Linked DNA regions of Neodiprion lecontei. The protein of the gene in region 2 binds, or shares a complex with, the protein of the main gene of each other region. Links are inferred from orthologs where the notes say so. Each region holds a gene or a part of one and is shown on either strand. Other genes may lie near its edges.

The links.
Region 1: phosphatidylinositol N-acetylglucosaminyltransferase subunit C (region 2) and phosphatidylinositol N-acetylglucosaminyltransferase subunit A share a complex: the UniProt entries of both Homo sapiens proteins name them as parts of the glycosylphosphatidylinositol-N-acetylglucosaminyltransferase (GPI-GnT) complex. The link is inferred for Neodiprion lecontei from reciprocal best matches to the Homo sapiens genes PIGC and PIGA.
Region 3: phosphatidylinositol N-acetylglucosaminyltransferase subunit C (region 2) and phosphatidylinositol N-acetylglucosaminyltransferase subunit P share a complex: the UniProt entries of both Homo sapiens proteins name them as parts of the glycosylphosphatidylinositol-N-acetylglucosaminyltransferase (GPI-GnT) complex. The link is inferred for Neodiprion lecontei from reciprocal best matches to the Homo sapiens genes PIGC and PIGP.

Annotation. Positions count from the first base shown.
Region 1 is NC_060263.1:40,958,303-40,966,626, reverse strand, and holds phosphatidylinositol N-acetylglucosaminyltransferase subunit A, read right to left. Parts: upstream 4,853-8,324; 5' UTR 4,728-4,852; coding exon 4,702-4,727; intron 4,398-4,701; exon of another isoform or gene 4,397-4,397; coding exon 4,240-4,396; intron 4,218-4,239; exon of another isoform or gene 4,190-4,217; coding exon of another isoform or gene 4,109-4,189; intron 4,024-4,108; coding exon 3,844-4,023; intron 3,696-3,843; coding exon 3,461-3,695; intron 3,267-3,460; coding exon 2,969-3,266; intron 2,893-2,968; coding exon 2,532-2,892; intron 2,457-2,531; coding exon 2,364-2,456; 3' UTR 2,189-2,363; downstream 1-2,188. Other genes in the region: neuralized-like protein 4, read left to right, coding at 5,539-5,697, 6,032-6,247, 7,080-7,520, 7,706-7,906, 7,989-8,214. UniProt on the Homo sapiens protein: Catalytic subunit of the glycosylphosphatidylinositol-N-acetylglucosaminyltransferase (GPI-GnT) complex that catalyzes the transfer of N-acetylglucosamine from UDP-N-acetylglucosamine to phosphatidylinositol and participates in the first step of GPI biosynthesis.
Region 2 is NC_060261.1:2,754,429-2,762,609, reverse strand, and holds phosphatidylinositol N-acetylglucosaminyltransferase subunit C, read right to left. Parts: upstream 5,067-8,181; 5' UTR 4,927-5,066; intron 4,842-4,926; 5' UTR 4,661-4,841; intron 4,360-4,660; 5' UTR 4,253-4,359; coding exon 3,323-4,252; 3' UTR 2,829-3,322; downstream 1-2,828. Other genes in the region: NF-X1-type zinc finger protein NFXL1, read right to left, coding at 1-1,224, 1,368-1,480, 1,581-1,852, 2,517-2,526; nuclear pore complex protein Nup205, read right to left, coding at 5,258-5,472, 5,551-5,749, 5,844-6,083, 6,173-6,423, 6,508-8,181. UniProt on the Homo sapiens protein: Part of the glycosylphosphatidylinositol-N-acetylglucosaminyltransferase (GPI-GnT) complex that catalyzes the transfer of N-acetylglucosamine from UDP-N-acetylglucosamine to phosphatidylinositol and participates in the first step of GPI biosynthesis.
Region 3 is NC_060263.1:36,933,171-36,940,411, reverse strand, and holds phosphatidylinositol N-acetylglucosaminyltransferase subunit P, read left to right. Parts: upstream 1-3,264; 5' UTR 3,265-3,366; coding exon of another isoform or gene 3,367-3,383; intron 3,384-3,514; coding exon of another isoform or gene 3,515-3,643; intron 3,644-3,752; coding exon of another isoform or gene 3,753-3,879; 5' UTR 3,880-3,934; coding exon 3,935-4,339; 3' UTR 4,340-4,617; downstream 4,618-7,241. Other genes in the region: protein ELYS, read right to left, coding at 1-1,769, 1,919-2,219, 2,357-2,734, 2,910-2,939; prostamide/prostaglandin F synthase, read right to left, coding at 4,706-5,016, 5,098-5,302, 5,547-5,603. UniProt on the Homo sapiens protein: Part of the glycosylphosphatidylinositol-N-acetylglucosaminyltransferase (GPI-GnT) complex that catalyzes the transfer of N-acetylglucosamine from UDP-N-acetylglucosamine to phosphatidylinositol and participates in the first step of GPI biosynthesis.

The DNA.
Region 1 (8,324 bases), on a different chromosome or scaffold from region 2:
ATTGCTGATTCTCATGACTTGTATATAATAATAAAAAAAAAACAAAAACAAAAAAACCTACCAAATCAATGTAAATGGTTTTAAGTAATCTGTTATACCACTGATGGAATAAAGTTCACGTTTTCTCAAATATATTTCAATAACAAATCGGATTCAGCATGGAAAATATTACCACTGAGAGGTGGTTCTCTGATTTCGACACGAGAGCTGAAGCATAATAAATATTCTAATTTTTGTAAGGGGTGATAAGCAATAATTAGGTATTTAGGTTTCGATTAAAATATTGCTTTTAATTATAATTACATGACGTATACATGTATTTATTATTTGTATCTTAGAATCTCACGAATTTTGAAAATTCGCCGAGACTTTATAGACTTCTTAACACGTCAACAAAGTTATTTGTCTCTTATAGTAAAAATAAGCTATTGTTAATTGTACGTAGAATATCCAGACATTATAAAATTATATTCATTATATTCATGTATCATATTCATCTCATTCATTGTTATGTTGTTATATAATAATACCATCCCTATGTATAAACCTTTACACTAGAAGCTGGTTGTCAAGTTATGTGTAAAACTGTAATTGACTAGCGCTCTGTGAATCGGTGGGGCAAAGTTTCCTCGTCGACACCAGATCCAAGTGAACGACAACAATGAGCTTCTACTGTATAAAGAAATTGAATTAGAAAATCTTTAGCTGCTTTGAATTTGTACAAAGAATTTCTCTGGTTTTCTTAATAGTTCATGTTGACCGATAATTAATAATATCGCATTAAAGGGGTTGGTAGCAAAGCGCCGGTAATCATATTTCACGATACATTTTCTTGCTCATATTCTGTTTTCGCCGAATTTCATGGCATTCTGGAAAACTTCTGATGTGCGTTTCAGCTGTCCGAAAGCTAAGTTTATTCGATATGGTATGATTGTCAGAGCGCATACACATGCATGCACACCCTGTTCACATTCATAACATATCACAAAATAGTAATACAGACTGTTATAATAGTGAGACTACCTTATGCACACAGTTGATTTAATTTTGAAGGAAAGTGTTCAAAGTCTGATCCCTTCATAGACTCATAGTTGAACTTTGTATTTTCTTTACACAATTATCAAAATAAAAGTAACAGAAACATCCTTCAGGCTTGTTTGAAAATAAAAGTATTAAATTATAGTTACAAAATACTGTAAAATCTACTTACAAGTTGGTATAACACAATAAAGTTCATCAAATACAAGCACTTAATAAATACTGTACTAGTTTGGCGCTTCGCAAATGACCAGTATTGTGTTTCAATAAATATTTGAATGAGAAATACTGAAAATAATCGAGTGTCACACTGTTATGGTGTCACACACAAGTGACTATTAAATGTTACACATGATATGGTCTTATGAATAATTTGTTCGACAAAAACTTTGTATGTTCACTTCAACAATTATTGGTACGTATTAACAACATAGACACTATGCATTATTCATTATTTTGTATCACAATTACATAAGCTGCACATATTCTTGTTACCACACATTCTGTGTAAAAAAAAAAAGGGAGAACAAGAAACTTTAAATTATGTATTCCTGTTTCTGAATTCTTCTGCAAATGCTCGAAATCATTACCTAACTCACTATACAACATAGTTTTCTGTACTTCACTCATTGTTTAAATCAAGTCAATTGTACAAATAAATTAATCTAGTAGCTATAAAAAACAAAAATAAGAATCATTCTTTAAACTTGTAATTGAAGCAATGCCTCTGATATTCCAGAATTTAGCCACAAAATTCATATTATCAAAATTCACTGTAGACTACATTATACGAACATGTATCGCCAAAATGACTGTAAGGAACGAAGAATGATTAGCAGTAGTCAAATTTGCTATAAAAAAAAAAAAAGAACGAACAGTCAATGTATTCCTAAAACTATTTGTTGAATTTGTTTTTGGAAATAATTTAAATGAAAATAACATTGTAAGATACAAAAAGTCCAATTACATAAAGCGAGTAAAGTTTCGCAATAAAATTCAAGAACTCTTATGCAATCCTTCAACCTTTACAAAATCTTTAACACCGCCAAGTAACATTACAAAACCTTTTTTTCGCGATGAGCTAAAAATATCGAATATAAAATTTCAAACAAATATGCAAAACAATTTAGGCAATAGGAACTATACTTCGTTTCTTTTTTTTTTTTTAAAGGCTTAGCATGGTTCTGAAATCTGGATACTTCGGTAATAAACTTGATAAGGCGAACGTTTACAAGTATAGAAATTTGTAATTTCTTTGGTAAACAATGGACACAACAATCAGTGTAAGCATACTGATTTTTAAGAATCAGAACATAATACTAGCGTCATGAATTGCTGCCTCTCTTCTTTCTTGGCACTTTGGTGTGAATATGTGGTTCGTTCTGTGATTGTCCGTAGTCTCGCGCCAAGTCGATGTACTAAAAAAAATGTATATATTGCATACGTGGTAACTGATACTTTTTTGGCACATGTTAAGTGACTGATGAACATACCTTTTTAGGCACAAGATACTCCAGAATGTAGAGAATAATATAGCACAGTGAAACAACTAGCAAATATGGCAAGACACCGGTTGGAATGTAGCTGCTCAGCTGTTGTCCAAGATTTTTCTGCTTCTCTTTTTCAACCAGCCCGTATACAACTTCCGTCCGTTTGGTAACGTCGAACCAGTTATAAAATGAAGCTATTTGCTTGTGCGCCTTGAAAGGACACATCTGTTTGCCAGTGACATAATCAGCTATCGCAGAATCAATGCCTTGTACCAAAGCAGGCACTGTTGGGTCCACCAAATATATCAAGTCGGGTGGTAAAACTTCTGGTATTCCTCCCACTCGTGTGGAAACAACTTGTAATCTTGAAGAAATTAAAGAAAACATTAACTTCCAATCTGAAAACTTGGCACAAGTAAATCTTTTGAAAGTTGCTTTACCCGCAAGAAGCAGCTTCCACGATTGCCATACAGTAGGCTTCTGTTAGGCTGGTGTTCAAAAATATGTGCCCTTTGTTTAAAACATGTCTCACTTGCGAATGTTCGAGACTACCGAGCAGCGTAACTCGGTGTTGGAGTAAATTCCGTTCTCTAATCTCTTCTATTAGCCACCGTTTTGGCCCGTCGCCTCCAATCAGGAACTGTACATTTTCATACTTTGCACAAATTTCAGGAATAATATGGGCTAGGAGATCCACCCCTTTTCGATAGACTAGCCGGGATACTATAACTATTGTAACTGCAAAAAAAGCTTTGATTCACTGCATGTGCAAGAAATTGAAAGATTCAAATAACCACCTTGCATAAAAGCATCTTGCAACTTGTATGAAGCCAAAGTGTTTTCATCTCTCGAGTGAAGTATCTAACAGCAAAGCGGACTAAAGAATCAAGCAGCTAGACATTGCTTGTTATAATATCGAAAAATATATTCACTAAAATCATTGTTCCTCTTGCTAACATCAGGTGTAAATAGCGCAGTGTCAACTGCGTTTGGAATGACTGACACCCTTTCTATTTGTACTTTTGCTCTTAATACGGTATTTTCTTTTCCAGTGTGCGATACACATATGCAGTGATTGCAATCTGACAGTGATATCTCTATGAATTTGTTGGTCAGGATAGCAGATGCGTCAGCAAAACCAAATAATGAATGGTCTGTGAATACAGTCTAGAACAGAATTCGTACAAGAGATTTAACATAATTCAAACTGTTTTCATTGCTAATTTCATTTATTGCTTTTCCAGGCCTCTCAGTTACGTGACATAGTATGTCCCACGAATATCTCAAGACACCTGGAAATGCGACCGCAGTTTACCTTCAGTCCCATCAGCCTCCCTATCAACATCCCTTCATGGGCTAAGGCAGAGAATGCCGAATGCCCATGGATTATCTGGATCTGTTCCCGTATGAAGATGTATCTGATCAATGGGAGAGAACAGATCATGGTGGGCAGCACACATTGATTGTAAAATACTTTTATCGGCAAGTAGTAGACCTGAAATGTATAAAAAGTAATATATTCAATGGTAGTGGTGAGTGGGAACACAAAAAGTTGATTTAACACTACAATAAGAAGTTACTCGTAGATTTTGATGAGCTGAGTGACTTGAAACAGTGTTTTTTCTATATTTTTGCAGAGGAATTAGACCCTGAATGAGCATCCAGGATTAAAAACAAAAAATTTGATCACAGGGCAAAGAAGAGTATGTACTTTCAAGCCATTCGTCATGTACCGTATTCCTACTCTATCACCATAAGAGTGCGTCAGCACTACGACTTTGTGTCCTCGACCCAATAGGCACTGGGACAAATTGAATATGTGCTCTTCCACCCCACCCATGTTCGGATAAAAGAAGTCGGAGACCATACTGAAAGAAAATATCAAGTTATGGCATTGTAACTTGCTAAAATATGAATAGGTAAGTTCATTCCAAAAGTTATCTCAGTTTGCTGTAGTCAAGGTAGGGTATGTTGCAAAAACAAGATGGATAACGAGTTGAAATAAAGGAAACAGATGTCACTTCTTAATTACAAGTCATTTGCAAATAATTGATATAGTTCAGCTTGACGATAAACTTTGACTTTGCTTTGGTGTCAGAATTTATAGGTTAGAATAGTCGAAAGCAGTAGGCATTGATATAAGGATATTTTTACAAATAGAATTAATGCTCACCATATCTTATGCCGGGTTTGTCCCATCTTGACATCTGAAACCGAGTTGTTTTTTTTACACAATTACCTCGATTTGACCTGTTTCACCACCCCCGTGTTTATCAACGAGCGTCATTGTGGATTTTGACCAGATTATTGCAGACGATAACTGCCAAACTGAATTCCCTCAATTGGCTGATGATGTGATGACGTTGCGGTGGGATAGGTGAAATGAAGCCTTTTCATTGGCTTGAAATGATAAACCCCTCCTACAAGGTGGGACCTGGTACATCAGAACCAATCATTCGGGCGTATTTTTCTCGTCGCTAGCTGTCGCTAGCACCGAGTGTCATCCTATATGCTTCGATTAATCGAGTTCCAAAAAATAATCGAACATGACTCAATTGAATCGGTAAATATTAACCGATTAATCGATTATTCCGTATTTTTTTTTTTTTTGAAACGATGCATATGAAATCAAAATGTTGTAAGTGAAAATATTCATATACGCCTTTCACTTATTATATCAAATAGGTGCTTGGTAAGTAAGACAATGTCAATTGTTGATACTTTAATCATATAAATTGATATTGTATTGTAAGGTTTCTCTCTGTATTGTATCATTCATATGGGAGTAAAAATCAAAAACCGATTGTATATAAGAAAGAACAATCGAGTCGGTCGATTAATCGAGTTTAAGAAATAATCGATTATACTCGATTAATCGGGAAAAAATGATCGATTATTTTTATGATGGTTTGGTTGGATTTGGTACGCGAGACGACGTGATCGGATATCGGATACGGGGACCTCGGAGTACGAGGCCCTGCTGCTGCTGTTGTTGTGTATACATACACAAATGGCCGTTATGTTTCACCAAAGATGCGGGGAGCGTGTTAATTTAATAAATGACAACTGTACCGCCGTCCGAAATTTCTCTGTATATAATTACGGGCTCGTATTAAGCTCCGAACCGCTCAAGGATGATGAACTCTTCGAAGTTCGCATCGATAAAAAGGTAACGATGTGCACCACTCGACATGTTATGCTGCAGTTCTCCATACTCGTACCTGTCGCCCACTGCATCGACTCGCCGAACTGTCAAATCTCCGGGATTTACAGGTTTTCATCACGCTATCGTCGCCCACGACTTTTATGGACAAACCTCGGTTTTCCAATCCGTATCTTTCACGCAGTTTCTTAATTGTAACGCCGTTTCCTGCATGCCCCGTGCTTGCATAATGTCCTCCTCAACTAGGCAAGACAATATTCTTCGCTTCGTTACTTGTCTATCAACATATCGTTTCTGCTCTTTCTTTGCCTATTTGTTTCTTCACGGTAATTTCTTTCAGATGGTATCATGGAGCGGAAGCATTGAAATCGGAGTGACATCATGTGATCCGGAGAGTATGGAGTTACCGGCATGTGCCAATAAGCTTAGACTTGGATCATGGATAATGTCAGGTTCTGGGATTATTCGTGACGGACAACCAATTGTAGAACTGTACGGGACAGATCTTGAAACGTTAGAGGAAGGAGATTTTCTTGGTGTGATGAGGACCTCAAATGTTAGTCTTAACTGTGTATTTGGTTCATTTCTCTTTTTCTTGTCGATGACTTTTTTATGTGTAGCACCGAATCTTGAACCGAGCAGAATATGAAAAGGCCAAAATGTAGGATCATCTAACTGTTTGAACTTATTCTTTTTCTTCACCTACTTTATCATTGAAAATTGGTTAACTACAAACATTTTAAGAGGATATGTTAAGAGGATTTTGTTACCAAACAAGAATTTTAATAACAAAATTAGATACTAATTGACGATTCATCGTATTTTCATTATACTTATTTCAAAATTTGAGATCAAAAGAACAAAGTAGGACAGCATTTTCTTCAAATTTCATCACTGGCTTCGTCTTGTGCACCAATTCTCTACGAATAGATGCACAAAAAAAAAGATAACTTAAATTTTATTGGATAATACAACTAGCTTAATTATTTAACAAGGTATGCACCTTTCATGAATTGCTTTTCCACCTGGAAATTATATTTAGAATTGTCTGATTTCCATGCATCCGTCACTTGTATGTTACATGAATAAACTTTAACATCTCTTGGAATGGAAGAATTATATTCCAATTAGGATTTTATAAAGTGATAAAAATAATGCAATGTTTTTTCAATACTGTCTCTGTCATTTTTGAGAATCGTTGAATAATAAACTCCCAACCGTCAATGTTTGTCAAAAATTGACCAGAGAAGATTTAATGAACTCCATTATTTTTTGATATTTATAATCCAGTCATTGAAATTATGACGACACATTTTAAAATTGAACAGACTGAAATTCATGTATTTGAAACAATTATTAGTCAAATAAATATTTTGTTTCATTTTCAGAGTGAACTAGTGTTCTATGTAAATGGAATGTCTCAAGGTGTAGCAGCTACAAATATCCCTTCACGAGTATTTGCAGTAATTGATATGTATGGTAACTGCGTCCAAGTAAGCGTCTCTCAGCCGAGGCCAACACTTTCCATAACAGACGTAACAAATGAGACAGAAATCAACAATGATCACGCACTTGCACAGACGTCAAATTCTTCAACGACAAACTTAGTTACCAATCTGAACGTTAACGTTAATGTAAATATCAACCTACCTAAGAATCCAAGCGCAGCTGCTATACGGGAGGACAGATTAAGGTTCCATGAGCGAGTCGGAACCCTCATTAAATTGTCTAACAATGCTAGAACGGCAGAGAGACGAAGACCACTTGATGAATTTAATAACGGTGTTGTAATGACGCACAGAGCATTAAGAGATAACGAGCTTTTTGAGGTAAGACTTTTCACACCTTGGCTTACCGCGATCTAATATTTTAAGTTTTCAAGTTGAAAAAGTATTTGATGTGTCATACACTGTGTTGAGTTATACTTTGCCTGGGCGAATCGATTGATTCATTAGCTTGAAGTTTGTGGTAAGGAATGTTTGCAATCTAAACAAATTTTTTAAATGTGAACCAGATTCGAATAGACAGATTAGTGGACAAATGGTCAGGAAGTATCGAAGTAGGTGTTACTACTCACAGTCCGACAGCACTAGAATTTCCCGCAACGATGACCAACATGCGATCTGGAACAACCATGATGTCTGGCTGTGGAATTCTGACCAATGGCAAGGGTACTCAGCGTGAGTACGGAGAGTTCAATTTAGACGAGTTGAGAGTAAGTTTAAATCCATGGCATAAAATGAATTCAGTGAAGCAAGATATTGCTTGCAAAGTTTGATATGGATTCCATATTACAGGAGGGTGACAGGGTGGGAATGATTAGGCGAAGTAACGGAAACCTTCATTACCTTATAAATGGTTTGGATCAAGGTATCGCCGCCAAGGTTCCCTCGGGTATTTGGGGTGTTATAGATCTTTACGGGATGACTGTTAAAGTAACCATTGTCGACCGGGATGAGAGAGAAGAACAAAATTTAGTCACTAGACGAAACACTCTGCATCTACAGGGATTAAATGGCGAAGGTAAAGTTCTTCTATTTTTCGGCATACTTTTTCTATCGACTGCTTCATCATTGTGTACTTTAATGCTAATTAAACTATATCCAGTTTTCCTTATGACAAAGTAAACTTAT
Region 2 (8,181 bases):
CTCTGTTTTTCCCACGGCCCAGCTGGTTGAGTTATACCATTCACCTTTACCCATACCTTGGTGTGACAGGGCACTGGGCAAATGTGACCGCACTTTTTATGCGCCAAGGCACATTGTTTCTTGCAGGGTGGACACTGTCCTTGGTGGCATTTGTGCGACTCTCGTTTTGGATGGTGGCAAATCGGTGGAATTTTACACATTTTATTACAGTGAGGTGGTTTAATCTTCTTGGCTGTACCACAAGGTATGACAATTTTGCTCGAACCGCATCGACACTGTATAGTGTCTGTCCTCTGGCAGGGATAGCATGGGCCGCTGTGGCAAGGAGCGGAACATTTGTGTTTGCGACAACTTAAAGTACGGTCGCAAGTCTTTTCGCAAGGATTGAAATTATTCTTCTTCACACAGTCGCAGCATTTTTTATTGCACGGATGCCGTCCGCACAACCGAATCTGCTTACACTTCGTGTCGCAGTGAAACACTTTGGCGCAAGCTATCTCTTTTTTGTGAGCACCGCATTTGCACGATTTGGTAACCACCTCCAAGCATTGCCCGCAGCTATCGAGATGACAGCGTTTGTTGCAGTAATGTGCTCCGCAATCCAGTAATTTTTCGCAAGTATCACCGCACGTCGCTGCCTCCTGCTTGCAGGAAATCTTGTACTTCCTCTTCCCGCACGGACACGACCTGTTTTTGGCCGTCAGGCAATCGCCACAGTCTCCGGGCAGATGGCAGACGTCTTGGCAAACGTGGACGTTACAAGATAAGGATTTTCTGCACGGTTTATCGCACCGCCACACCGTGTCGAAACATGGCCTCAGCTCGGTCTTATTCCCACAGTGACAAGTCGCGGAAACCTTCTCCGGACATGGTGGACACTCGCCACTATGACACATTTCTGTGCACGTGTGTTTCCCGCATTTCAAATTCCTGCTGCAAACAGCGCCGCAGCTCCATTCTTTGGCGTTACAGCGTCTCGGACGAGGGGCTGATTTGGCACAGTAGCATTTGGAAGAAACCATTTTAGGACACGGAGGACAAGGTCCGGGATGACATAGCAGAACACAGGAATGCCCGCATTTTGGTTGGAGAAGTTTTCCACATGCTTCTCCGCAAGAATGTGGTACGCACCATGGTTGATATGATGGATCTCTCGTCTTTCCGCAAAAACATTCATAGTGTTGCGGAGCCTCGTCTTCGGCATACTCTGTACGACATTTTGGGCTGCAATAATCAGACTCAATTGTCATTAACTCTGGACATCGATAATAAAGGTGGATCATAGATTTATTTGCTCATCAGAGTTGATTTGAAAAGAACAAAAGCTGTCAGAATTTAACAGCGAGTTAACAATTGATTGAACCCACCATGCCCATAATTGAGAAATTCCACGGTCCCGCTTGTAAGCAAGGCTGTCTCGAATCCAGTGCTGAATGCACGGGAGATGCATAAATGAGTAGCACATGGTACAGCTCCATATCTGCATCAATAATTTATTAGGATAAAACATGACAAAACAATTTCTACTGGCTGAACAGCGATGAGAGTGTTATCATGACAAATTCTTCATTCAAACTTACTGCGTCTGTTTTCTTCACCGACGAAATACATATCAAGCAAACAGCGCCGTTAGATTGAAAAGTATCAGCCAAATAAGATAGGATTTTTTCAGGATCTCCACCTTGATCTTGGTAGGAAGTCAGGACCTTTCCAACAGCTTGTTCCAATATCTCTTGCCCAGTTTCATCTTCTTCGTCGCTCGACGATTCTACCATAGGATGTGTAACCATGTGCCTTTCGATCGCCGCTTGATTTTGCGCTTGCGCTCTCTTAAATTTCTTCATTTTGAATCCTAAAAATCCAAGCTTTACAATGTAGACAAATTGTCAAATAATTCCTATACGATCCTCAGTTTTGGTTTGAAAATGAAAGCCTAATGTGAAACTTACGTTTTGTTGATTTTATTTACTAGTAATTGAACAAACAATAAAATATTTTCAATTACCACAAAGCTGTCAAACGGTCCTTATGAACCTAAATATAAAACACAACTGCCTCCGAACCTCTTCTTTATTTACTTCGGATACCTAATTACAGATCTGTAAACAAGTGTACTTTCAGAAAATGATAATTGAGGCTTACCAAATGGAAAATAATTTGCCTAGCTACATTGACATTAAAATGGGATTGTTACTTATTCTCTTTTTCAAACATCTATTACGTAAAAATCATAACTTAATAAATCAAGCCTGTTGAGGGGAAATTTTTCTGGAGGCCAAGATAAATAGAACTACAAATAAGGAAATAATTTCAAGATAGACTCGTACCGATAGTTACGATAATTGACGTAAATAATTCTTATCTCAATTTTGTTAGTTACATATCAATACTGCAGAAAAGACAATATTAAGACTTTGATAATATTTAGAAGAATAAGAAACGCGGAGTGGAAAAAAAGCACATGAAAATTTGTCGCAAAATTCTATCATGATTTTTAAAAACACGGTGAAACTGACCAGAGTTCATTCTTATTACCTTGTTATTTGCCTCTAAAATGGAATGAGATCAGTAAAACAAAACTCATAACCTCTATCAACGTCATTAATTCACCACAACCACAACCACAACCACTTCAGACACCAGCACAATCATTTGATTACTGCGCATATGCGATCGATACGCGCCACACTTCCCGAAATCACGTGATCAGGATTTTGGCGGTAGTTTCGATTCAAATTTGAATTTCACCGTGATCTCGGGATTGGATATGTAAAAAATAAAACGCAGGAATAAACATTCTGGTTGTAAATGAGAAAGTAAAATATGTGTATTCTTGTATTACCGATATTGTTTAACAAATTTGAACCCTAAATTAAGTTTCCTTAGGTTTAATTTTTGGATAATAGCTCAAACTCGGATTTGAATTTATAATAATACCTAATACTCGTATAAGCAGACACGCAGTGCCCAATATTTCTGTACAAGTATAACAATATACCTGATTTTATAAGAATTAATGTATCATAAATGAATAAAAAATGATTCGTGTGCCGATTCATTTCCATACTAACTAAAAATTGTCACATTAATTTATACGAATTTTTTATAGCACTATTTATCAGAATAAAATATTATAAAAAAACTACAGCATCGTTCCATGAATATTTCACTATCCCCCACCATTTTCGATAGTATTGAATTTATTAACAGTGAAAATTCTATCTGAAACTAAATTCCTTCATCCAATAAATATTATTTGGTTTAAAAATGTGTGCTTCACATAACATGCTGTTCACTGATTTCATAAATGCTTTAGACATCTTCAAGACGTGATCACGGCCTCGTCCCATGGGCCGTAAATATTTTCTTTATAAGTTTGCCACCTGATATAGCAAAGGGGACAAACCAGTTGTAGAAATATGGTAACTCCGATAAATACGCACGAAATTGTTGAAGATATGACGTAAAGTAGATAAGTCGTAGTGGCAGAAAGAACAATTGTGATACACACTTTGCCATCGATTTGAAACATGACAAACGGCAAAAGAACAAAGCAAAGAACGGCTGTGGTAAGGAGTGAGAAGGCGTGCAGAGGCGAAACGAGTCTGGATGCTAACATGAGCGAGCCAAAAATTGAGGAAGTTATGGAGAGGGAGTCGGACAAAGAGACTTGTGGGGAGCCGTATTTGCTGAATATAAGGTGTATCAAAAACATAAATATTGTCATGGCATATATTGTGTCCGTACTGACGGTTGCAGTCAGGGTTTTCAATATCGGTGATAAGATGTAGCCAAAAGCAAGAAATATCAAGACAGTTCTAAGGTCTTTGGACATTTTTTCCAGCATGTCGGACTTCTTAAAAGTATGAAGAAAATACCCGGCTAATGTGAGAATACCACTGAACACAAAGATGGCATTAGGCGCTATCCATTCGTTGTCCAACCAAACGAAAACTATGACGAATAAAATTACTATGTTCAGTTGGACGGACACACTCGCCGCAAACGATATAGCCTCGATGGTTGTAATGTTACTTGGGTTTATATTTTTACGCAATTCTTCCAGGAACGAACTGTCCGTATAATTATCCGGCAGCCCACGAGTTTCGTACAAATTTTTACGCCACCGTCTAGTCACAACTCCATTTGTTTTCTTTCCATTCATAACAGGCGCCTCTAATTCACAATGAGACATTCTTCTTTTTTGCGTTAAATGACTCTCCAGTGGAATGTCATTCATTGAGTAACTCATTCCAACATTCAGTCAGAAATTCACAATTTCACTCCCCGGCTTGACGTTATGCTAGAGTTTTTTGGACAGCTGCCAAATTTTAAGCATTGTGCTTCAGAACTGTTGAACTGAAAATAAAATATAATGGTACACGTCTGAGATAGTCTCGTTGCCTGATTGCATCGCACAAATTCTTATATGATTTCTCGTTACTCAACGAGCTGTATATGTAGACTGTAGTTTTATAAATATTTATGGAAAGTTACGGGATATGGATTAATTAATGGATTCAGTGAACGACAAACGAAAAGCTTTATAAAATTCAATATAAATTCTAGTTAAATTAGGTTAGTTTGGGGTCAAATTCTTTGTAGTTTGAAAGCGATACGATAAATAGATCTCATATTGAAATAAGTTCGAATTGCTTACCGAGAATAATTGAAGTATAAAAAATTTTTCATTCTCATGCGTCATTCGTGACAGTCCGTCGAAGAAACAAAACTATTTCTAAGATTTTTGTAGATCCAAATTTGTTCATGACTTGTGTCAACCAATCTCAACCACGAGTCAAGGGATATTTTATTACAGTTTAGAAATCATTTAATTATCGCTAAAATATGAAAATACATTCCTTTTTCACAATCATTAAAAAAAATGGAACAGGTAGATTAACATCTGACGAAGATAAGTGTTACCTTTGAGGTTATGTTGAAGGCCTGAATTTGATTGATTATGCACTGAATCACGCAGGCCGTACTTGACGTATTTCTCATATCTTGTATTTAGTTGGATTTGCATCAGAACGACCAAATTTTAATAAATAAGAAAAAAAAACACACAACACAAATAAATAACAGTGACCTAAATTCATGAGAAAAAAAAAATCTTCATTTAATATAACAAGTTATTTTTTATTAATACATAAGAAATGATTCAGAAGATTATGTCTCGCATAAGCTTTTCGAGGCGGCGATATTGGACTGGAACTCAGATTTGGTTTTGTCTAAATAAAATACTGCTACAATGTTACTTGGTGATAATAAACTGCAAGAGTCTTTTGATCCGTCGAACTAATGCTTCGATAAAAGATCGATCCGTCGTAGTGAATTCTCTTGGTGTGTCCATTAGTTGGGTAATAAAACTGTCCGATAGGGTGGAAACAAGCCCTTGCTTTAGATCGGACAACATTTCTGCAGATATTCTCCACGAGACTACAGTTTCATCCAAGTTACTCGAAGACACTGTAAAGAGAAGAAGTAATATTTTACCTATTGAAATATTGTAAAAATATTCAACATAGATCTCCAGATGCCGCTTACCTTGAGATCTGTTGTGACGCGTCATTGCTTGCATGGCAAAGAAGTCTAAGTGACTCCATAAAATGTACAGACTATGTTCTACGATTAATGAACAGTACTTGAGATCTCCGCGTTTGCATCGCGCTTCTTCCGCTAGTCTTTTCTCGGCTATTAATCGCTGTTTTTGAATATCCAATTCACCTTCCTCTTCTGTTATGTACTGAAGAAAAAAAAAAACGAAATTTGATTTCAATTTCAAAGAATGTCATTGGTGAAATTTTAAATTAGAAACGTGTTATCATGTTAGCACTCACTTTTTTAAGGTCATTTGAACTCATGTCTTTTATAATCGAGGCATTTTTAACCATTGTGTCTAAATGCGGCAGTTCTGAGTGAAGTAACGAAGTAGAAGAAACAAGTTGCCCTATAATTGCACCCAAATGTATTCCACCAGTGGAATCTTTTCCTCTTCCATCTCTAAGCCCAGGTCTGTCTGTTAAATAAGGTTCAAAAAGTACGTTTTTTATTTTCTGATCCATCCGGGTGTGTTCCATCTGTAAAAGCGAATAAAGAAAATCAGAATTTTGAACACAGTTCAATCTTCAATCAATGTAAATGAGTTGCGTCGGTAAGTTTGACATACTTGATTACGAGTGTACAGCATAACGTTGGCAGCAATTTGTATTGCGCACGAATGTTGTTGGGTAGCTTCCATTTGTTGATGTAGAGGTACGACGGGAGGCAGTTGTGGCTGAAATCTGGAGACCATGGAGAGCATCAAACGTTGGAGCCTATAAAGATGGGCTCGCAATTCTCTCATGCCTGTACTATCTTCAGATTTGTGTTCGTTAGAGTTGGCTCTGGCCAATTCCTCGTCAACAAGTTTATACATGTCTGAAAAAGAAGAGAATTAAATATTTGCATAGAATAAAATAGAAATAAAATCATGAAAAAATCAATTGAATGAGAGATGCCTACCAATGTTGGCAGACCTTGCGATGACCCCGGTGAGACTGGCGACTTCTTTGAGGAACAGAACATTAGAATGAGGTGATGCATTCCGTAAAACCATTTCAACGGTATCTCGATGACTCTGTAAAAATCCGCAAACTTGTATGGCACAAGACTGATTTTCCGTTCCAAGGGTAGTCAGCAAAGCATCGCACAAATAAAGTGCAGGTAAAAAGATTTGCTGATACCGCTGACCTATGGAAGGCACAAAGGATATATCTCCACCTTCAAAGCCCACATTTACGTCAGGATGCTGATCGAAAACACACATGCTTGATAAGCAAGATAGGACTTTATTTTCCAGAAGACATTCGGCACCCAGTCTGGTCGACGCCATTCTGCAGAGCGTTGCCATTTTTGATTCGTATAAATACAGGGGCCGCAGAGTGAGTGGATCTGGTTGAAGCATTGTTCGCAATAAATTGTCAGAATCCAGAAGACTGTCTACCATGTGTTTAAGGTACCCTCTGCTAGCCAGATATGTGACCCACGTATTGCTGCAATCGAATTCTAAAATTTTGTCGAGGCACGATAATGACAGCATTTTACAGACGTCGTGTCCACCGGAACAATCGTGGGACAATATATCCATCAACTTGTTACCGTAACTACTGATCACTTGTATCGTCGCATATCGATGCGAACGCTCCTGTAGCGGCGTACTTCTATAATACGAACTATCTAACTGACTAACATACATGGAATCCATGTTGGTCACAACTTCCGATCTTTCCAAACTGACTACACAGAGGAAATTGAGAAGTGCCCCATAAAGATGGGTTCGAACTTTTTGTGAGGATACACCAGAATTTAAGATCCATTGAAGAATATGACTAAGGATAATCTTCATCATTGTTGTATTTGCAGCGGAAGACGGTAGCAGCTCATCGTCAGATTGCATGGAGAAGCTATTACGAAGGTTTACTAGTAGTACGAGCACGGTTCCAGATACAAGTGTTTTGATTTCGTTCAAAGCTTCGCAAGACGTCATCTTCTGCAGTAAATCATGTGACAAATTTAGCAGAAGATTTTGCCTCTGAGCAGCGGGAAGTTGCTGGTTCGTTGCGACAGAGAATAAAATTTCAGTTGTTTGACACCAGCCCTCGACGAACTTCACAGTAGCGTAAGAAAGGGTTTTCGTTTGATTTCGTTTCAAGGCGTATGCAAGGATAGATTGCAGCTCCTGTTGCACAAGCTTACGCTGAGTCGCAGTTGCGCTAGTTTGCGTACCAGCCAATTCTTCTGTTATAAGATTGTGAAGTTTTCTGATATCTATAAGCTGGGGACTTCCACCAAGTGGAACTGGAATGCTGCAGCGTCCCAACACCATTTCAATTTGAGACGGATCAAAGTATTCCCAGGACTTTGGAGGATCTAGATTTAACTGGAAATCGATATAGTGAAGTAGATCCATCAGGAGTTTTTGGGATGGCACAATTTGATCTCTGTCATGGATTAGATTGCCGACTAGTCTTTGAATCAGGGAGTTCTGAAGGCTGCCACCAGCGACGCGCAATTCAATTGCCGATATTTTTAGCAGCCAGGACATGCAGGCAAGCTCAGTCGCTCTGTTCGCTCCCTGGAATGGCAGCTTGGAAAGATGACGTTGTACGAAATCTTGATTGGTGGCTGTCCGAAGGA
Region 3 (7,241 bases), on a different chromosome or scaffold from region 2:
AGTTAATTTTATGAGACTCGGACTCATCTTAAAAGCTGATGGATACTTTATCAACTGATCAACATCGGGGCAAGAACCTTGTAAAAGTTTAACCAGATCCATTAGCAAATAAATCGTAATTTGATGTTTGTTCTCGATTTCGTCAGACTCGTTCTGATTATAGCAGTCGAAGAGGTAACTTCTTAGAAGCGATTGTAAAGATGGAGGAGGATAATATCCTCCTGTGGTAATATCCCCGCCTTCGCGTTCCCACTGTGATCTTAATGCCTGACACTCTTCTGTCATTAACTCATCAATGAATAACTCTTCCTTACGATCTGGAGGGCTAACAGTATTCTCTCTAATTTGTTGACGTTTATTTTTATAAATGGCTGCTAATCTCTCGTATGGATATGGTATTTGCAGCGAGAATGTTATTGGTAATGGTTCATCATTGACTTCATGTGTTTCAGGTAGTAGACCGACATCGTAAAACCAAAGAAGAACTCCTAGATGAGTAGCGACACGGCGTAAGGCTCTTTGTTGCTTCACAAGATCGTCCGATGGGATGGGTAATCTGGCAACTACTGTTGATAAGCATTCAAGTTGTTGTGAACAAAACCGTAACAACTTTATCTCTTTGTCTCCGATTGTTGAACCGGATTGGTCAAACAGTGGAATACATAGCTGATCAGCTACCATTTTTAGGGAAGAAGCCCTCTGAGCTCCCCACCTCAAAAACATAGGAAATAAATATGATACGCTCCCATCCCCCCATTCTTTGGCACATTTGATTAAGAATGATGCCCATCTTTGCTCCAGACAGAGAGAAAGGAGCATTTCTCGTTGTGCGTTTTGATCACAGTCAAAAGAGCAGTCGGTGTTGAATGGGACTAATCCAGCGGCAAGGCACTTATGAAATGTTTCTGAGGGTTGAATCAAAATGCTGGGACCAGCAATAGCCATGTCTCGTAGTAATTCCCACTGCAACCCTCGGGTCATCCAAATTCTTAGGTGGTTATTTGTGAGCTCCACCCAATCAAGACACAGAGATTTGGGGTAGAACAGCTCATCCAGAGAATTTCCTCCGTTATTAGGAAACTCTCTTAACGTTAAAGGAGAATAAGCACAGCTTAAAACCATATCGTCAGCAATATTCAATGTCTCTGATTTCATCTGATAATAACACAGGAAAGTATTTGGGTTCTGACAGTTGTGAATGTTTCGTGGTAAATGTTCTCTGTACCACTGATTTAAATCAAATAATAACGCTTTCCCACTCAATCCAATTAGCAATAAGCTCGCATCTCCTTTCTTATTGTTCGGTTCACTTTGCTCACAATTGTTCATTCTTTCTATCGAAACCAAGTTCGTTATTCTGTCAACAGGTTCTAATTGTAGATCAAATTTCAGACTGGGCTCACCTTCTATCTTAAAATGCAGATTGGTTTCCTTGTCACAATACCTTCTTTCGATGAGCAGTGCGTACATCTTTAGAATAGGAGCTGTTTCAAAGGTTTCTTCCTGGTACGCAACCCACAGGTAGTAAAATGGTCTCGGATCGTCGGCTGGCTCAAGCAGAGCCAAATGACTGATCGCCATACTATTTTTAGCAGAAGCACTTATCCAACCAATCGAACCATCGTTTTGCCAAATTATGACCCTCCCCAAACATCCAGATATCACACAGCCAATCTTTTTTGCATAGATCAGTGTCGTTGTAAAATTTTCATCATACAGCGGTGATGATTCAAATTCCTCCCGATTGAATCTTATAAAGTCTTCAATGCCTAAGTAATCAACAAAATGGAAGAAAACTCATTAAACAAAACTTAACAATTGAAAAGAGGGTCAATTATGACGGTATCTCACGATTATGTTTCAAATTCGATGAGAGACAAAATCGTCGATATATGAAAATTAAGAATAAGTTACTAACCAGGATTCAGCAGGTTGTACGCTTTGTGTATTCCCCTATCACAACGTTGTCTCGAAGATAATGAATACCTGTCTTCAGATAATTCAATGTCAGCTGGTGATAGTTCATTGGTCGTCAGGTAAGATACATCTCCGTCCCATAATACACGACGCAAATCCAATACAATATGGTACAGATTGCGCAAAGCGACACACGCGATTCCAGAACTATTGCTCAACATGCCATGTGTTCTTTTCTCATTGAAATCTTCCCACTCTGCACCTCCGTTCATCACGCACACCTGCTCCACACCTGCAGGCATCTGGTAACCGCGGTATAGCAAAAGATTTTTGTCAATTATCATCAATTTTACTTTAGTCACTGAATGAAAAATATACTTGTAATACATATATACGATAGAATTAAAATAGATAACACGTGAATAAAAATGCAACTTACCCTTATTGATCTGAGAACTCTTGATGTGGAGCAGTCAAAAATGCACAACATTCCAGCAGAATCTTTAGCTCTATTCGCGCCATTATCCAGTCCAACTAAGAGCAATAAAACGTCCCCAGGCTGCGTGGGAAATTGTGCGACAGCCGTCACTTTCTGACAGAAAGTCCAAGAGGAAATGTTTTCTCCTGTTTTTGTGTTGATTACAACAAGCCGTGAACCATTACTCAGCCATGCGTGATTCGCATCTTCCAAAAAGCTTCCACGGGGAATATCTGAGCCTCTGGAGGCAGGGGATCCTGCTGACTGTCTAAATTCATCTCCATCTGACGGGTTAAGGCCATCCCATATCGATGCTTGGATTTCTATTATTTTACGAACCTAAATAACGGTTACGATGTATGAAAGTGGTGTAAATAAGAATAGAAAAATATGAAAACGTGAGATTTCTCAAGCCGATTAGTTTTCGGTTTTTGGCAGGCATTGCTTGAACGTTAAACATGTTTTCTCTTAGTAACACTTAATTGCAATTTTTTAATACTGTTAAGAAATTCACCTCACAACGCGTATGCTCCAGCTCTTTCATATTTCAAATTATGATTTACGAATCACGTTGAGGCCAGAAAACATTTAGATACGACTGTATTTTTTATCGCTCTAAATGAGGTTATGTTTCGTTACTTGGAACGTAATAATTTTGAATTCGAATGAAAATCCACTTGAGATACCAGTTTGGCAGCTCTTATTATTGCCCGGTGAAAAAATGTTTCACGAATGAAACATACGTGACGATAAATATATTTCTACTGTATTATTAAATTTAAGTTTTATTTCGCATCTCGTGACCATTCAAAAATACCCTGAAGTACGTTAAAAATGGTCGAACGTAGAAGGCTTCGATTTGATTGGGCGACGAGTTTACGGCTGCAATTTCGTTTCGTCCTCGTGTTTCGAACTTCAAAGCAAAGGAATACGTGTTTACGAATGAAAGAATTTCACGAGCGTATTACGCGATGAACGACATTAACGTGTAAGTATCCTTTTGTGGATGTATTCGAATTGTATTCTAAGAAATTTCTTTATTATCAACGTTCTATTATCGGCACTTTATCGTCTGGTAAAAAGATTTTTCTACCATAACCTTAATACCGCAAATAACAGATCCGTTTCAGTGCCTTTTACAACGGCCCGAGAGGCAGACGTTGTTTATCAAGTATTGAGAGTTGATTCCGAGCCGAAGCGAAGCGGCGTTTCTAAGATACTGAGTTTGGATGAAACCCGCCTCAACGTGTAAGAACTGGGCTTTCCAAAGACTCTTCTACCAACTCACAAGATGAACAAATTTATGTTCAACCGTTTATCAGAAGATTTATTTTGTTTTTTTTTTCTTTGCTTCCAGGAATTTTACAGGCACAGAAGCACGCAAGGTTCGAGTAGGGCTGACCTCATTTTTTGAAAGCTTACTTCTTGTACTTGAAACACTCAAAGAATTTGGTCCGCCTGCGCCTGAGTATACACACTATTGACTGGACATATTCCACACAATACGGCCTACATAACTATTGGCAGAAATTTATTAAAATGCCTGAGCATACCCCAGCACCTTATACGCCCCGATCAGTCTATGGGTACGCTTTGTTTGTCGGTTCGAATATGTTATTCCTATTGTATTTGGTGTGGGCTATAGTCCCAGATAATTTGCTGCAAGAAAAATTTGGCCTTACTTATTGGCCATTGAAATACTGGGCTGTGGCCATTCCAATTTGGGCCTTGACGGCCACTGCGCTGTTCGCGTTTCTTATTTATCCAGCGATCAATCTGCTGATGACACCAGATATAGACGATATTAGGACAATTAGAGACAAGTTCTCTCTGAATACAGCGGATAAAGTTCCTGGAGGTATTCCACCTGTGTCTGACATACCCATAACTCAGATTTGCAGGCAGCTGTACCTGAGACCTGATGGAAAAATGAAAAATGCTTGACTAGTTTCAGTTGCATGGTATTGTTCAATGTAAAGCTAGTTATGACGTTATCATGTATTTGTATTTTTATAATATTATTTTGTTTTTAAAATACAATATTGTGCGTATAAGTTTAAAACGGTTATAGAATTTCATTTTTTTGTTCATAACAACCTCTGGCCACGCTGATTATAAATTTCTTTCTTATAAATAACATTACTGCAGATCATTGCATAACAAACTGTATTGTCTCGCTAAACTAAAATATCTTTCCCCTTTCTACAAAGTTACGTGGAAGTTGAACAATTCAAAATCAACAGTTCAGCGTGCGATACAGTTGGACATGAAATGACTGATAAATTGTTTGTGTGAACGTATAGTGTTAGATCAACCAGTCTTTTCATCAATATTAGCTGGAATTGGAATTCCAAGGACTTCGAGAAACTTGGAATTTTTAACGTGCTGTGCAGGGCCATCTTGCTTGAAGGAGTAAAGCAGTTTGCCCCCTTCTTTAACAACTAGGGCCCCACCATTCTGTAATCCATCTCCTTTATAGTTTCCAGATACTTTCAATTCCCTGCCTTTATTAATAGCAGCCCTTGATTCGCCGCTAAACAGCGAAGCAATTACAGAGAAGTAATTGTAGCGCTTAAATCCAAGACCGGCGTAGGTCTTCTTATCAATGTCCACGTAGAGTTCTGTGAGGAAGAGAGAAAAAGATCATCGCAATCAGTACGGGCACTTTCCACTATGGAAACTCCGGCGCGATGACTAAATACCTCCTTTGAAAAATTTCCCGTCCACAAATTCTTGGCTATCAAAGTCCTCCACCCCAACGCCAATCAATTTCACATTGTGTTCCTTGAGGAGATCTGCAATTGCGGACACCTCTTTTGCCCACACTCTGCATAGCATGCATCCCCAGCGTCTGAAGAAGACAATTACCACAGTCTGGTCCTTCCAAAGACTTTCCAGCGGAACGACCTGTTAAAATATTTGAAAGAACGAGATTTTTCAGATTTCCGTACATATCAGTTTAGTAGTAAAATAATATTGATTCTTGATAAAAATCAAGTAACAATGAAAAGTGACGGTAATTGTGCAATTTTATTTTAAGAAACGAAATAAATGATGACGTTTATTTCTGGTAGAATTGTTACGTGAATTTTATAAGAAATATTTACTTTATTACATTTCAGCCGCGTTCAACACTAAGATAATCGCTTACCTCGCCAGTCGTAAGGTTCTTTATTTTATTTTGGGATATATTTGTGAGGTCCACCATTGTTGATAATTCGCTCCTATTGACAATGTTCCGTCACGATGACTACGCGTCAAACTAAAAACAAAACGCAACGTGATATACATATATACAGAGTATAAACGCGATTATTCATACCACTGATTCATACGTATGCATGTGAACGATTATAGGGATATATAATATGTTTATCGATATTTCCTGTCGAAGAAGCGGTCGTTTTGTACCTGTGCTGTAGGTTAATTGGAAAATATCCCCACTCGATTAGTTGTTCCCAGTCACCTTGAATCGAGTCTTGCGTGCTACTATGACTTGGATATTCTTTCGAGTTTTCAAGCACTTATCTGACGATACATCCCATTAACTTCAGTCTCAGAATCCCACCACCTCTAACAACGTCTAATGTGAGTATAAAATATGTAATTTAACCGAGTGTTCTTATAATATCACTTCAACAAGTTGACGTCTCGACTGAATATAAAAAATGTTTGTAGTTTTTCCACAATATTCTATTCCCGCAGGGCTGCTTCTCGCGGTTTGAAATTTATTTGCTTGTAAAATTCGAATACTGATTCACCGTTATTTGATAGTTGCGCAACGCGGTGATAACACCAATTGCACTGATAAAAGCTGAAACCCACAGGTCATAAGTCCGTTTGGTCGGTCGAGGCATGTTTCGGTTATGTCAAGCGGGTGCTTTAGTCGATTTCTATGTGTCGTACATATCTCCAAATATCGAAATCCACATAACTGAGACGCGAAAAAGTCTTAACAGTCCCATTCTATATGCAATTCTGAACAAAAACACTTCAATGCATTTTCATTTGAGACAGAAACAAAGAAATGGCACGGATTCTACAAAATCGCAATAGTAAATTCGTAGAATTCATGCCATTTCTTTATTTCTTCGTCAAATGAAAATTAATTGGAGTGTTTTTGTTGAGGATTCCATACAGAATGGGACTGTTAAGCCTTTCGTCACGCCTGAGATACGTGGACTTCGGTATTTGGAGATATATACGTCAACCCGACCCGACTTTTTCAATTGAAAATTGGGAAAAGAGGAACCAAAAAACCGTTTAGAAACTTCCGTAATATCATTTGCCCCAATAACGGTAAATACGAACGAAACTTTACCCCTACTACGTGATAGAAGTGAATTTCAGCAATTTGAATAAGACCTGTTAAATAAAATATCATTAGTTTGGGAAAAGGTTTTATAATCAGAGCGTTCATAATGCTGTTATAATCAGTCTTTATCGAATGCTTTAAGTGTCTTCCACTTTACCTAATATCACGATTCCTTAGTTTTCATGCCGTTTCTTCTTTTTTGCGTAAAACCGGAATGTATTAGTGTGTTTTTGTTCAGAATTTGTAGAATTCTTGTAAAATTCGACCGTTATATCCTTTTTAGTGTTGCAATGCATAGCCTTTGATAATAGCCAAAACAAGACATTTAACGCAATCGGTAAGAAGTGACTATAATATCCCCTTAAACTCTGGTGTTTTATCCGTGTGTAATGTTTTTGGCCGGAGTAGAGATGTTTCATTCTTGTTCACTATCCTTGGGGCAAGCATAAAATATCGCTCAAGATTTTTCGAGTAATTTTTTTTATCCTTTTTTCTAACTTTTGATCCAGCCGGACTTTGCTTCGATAACTT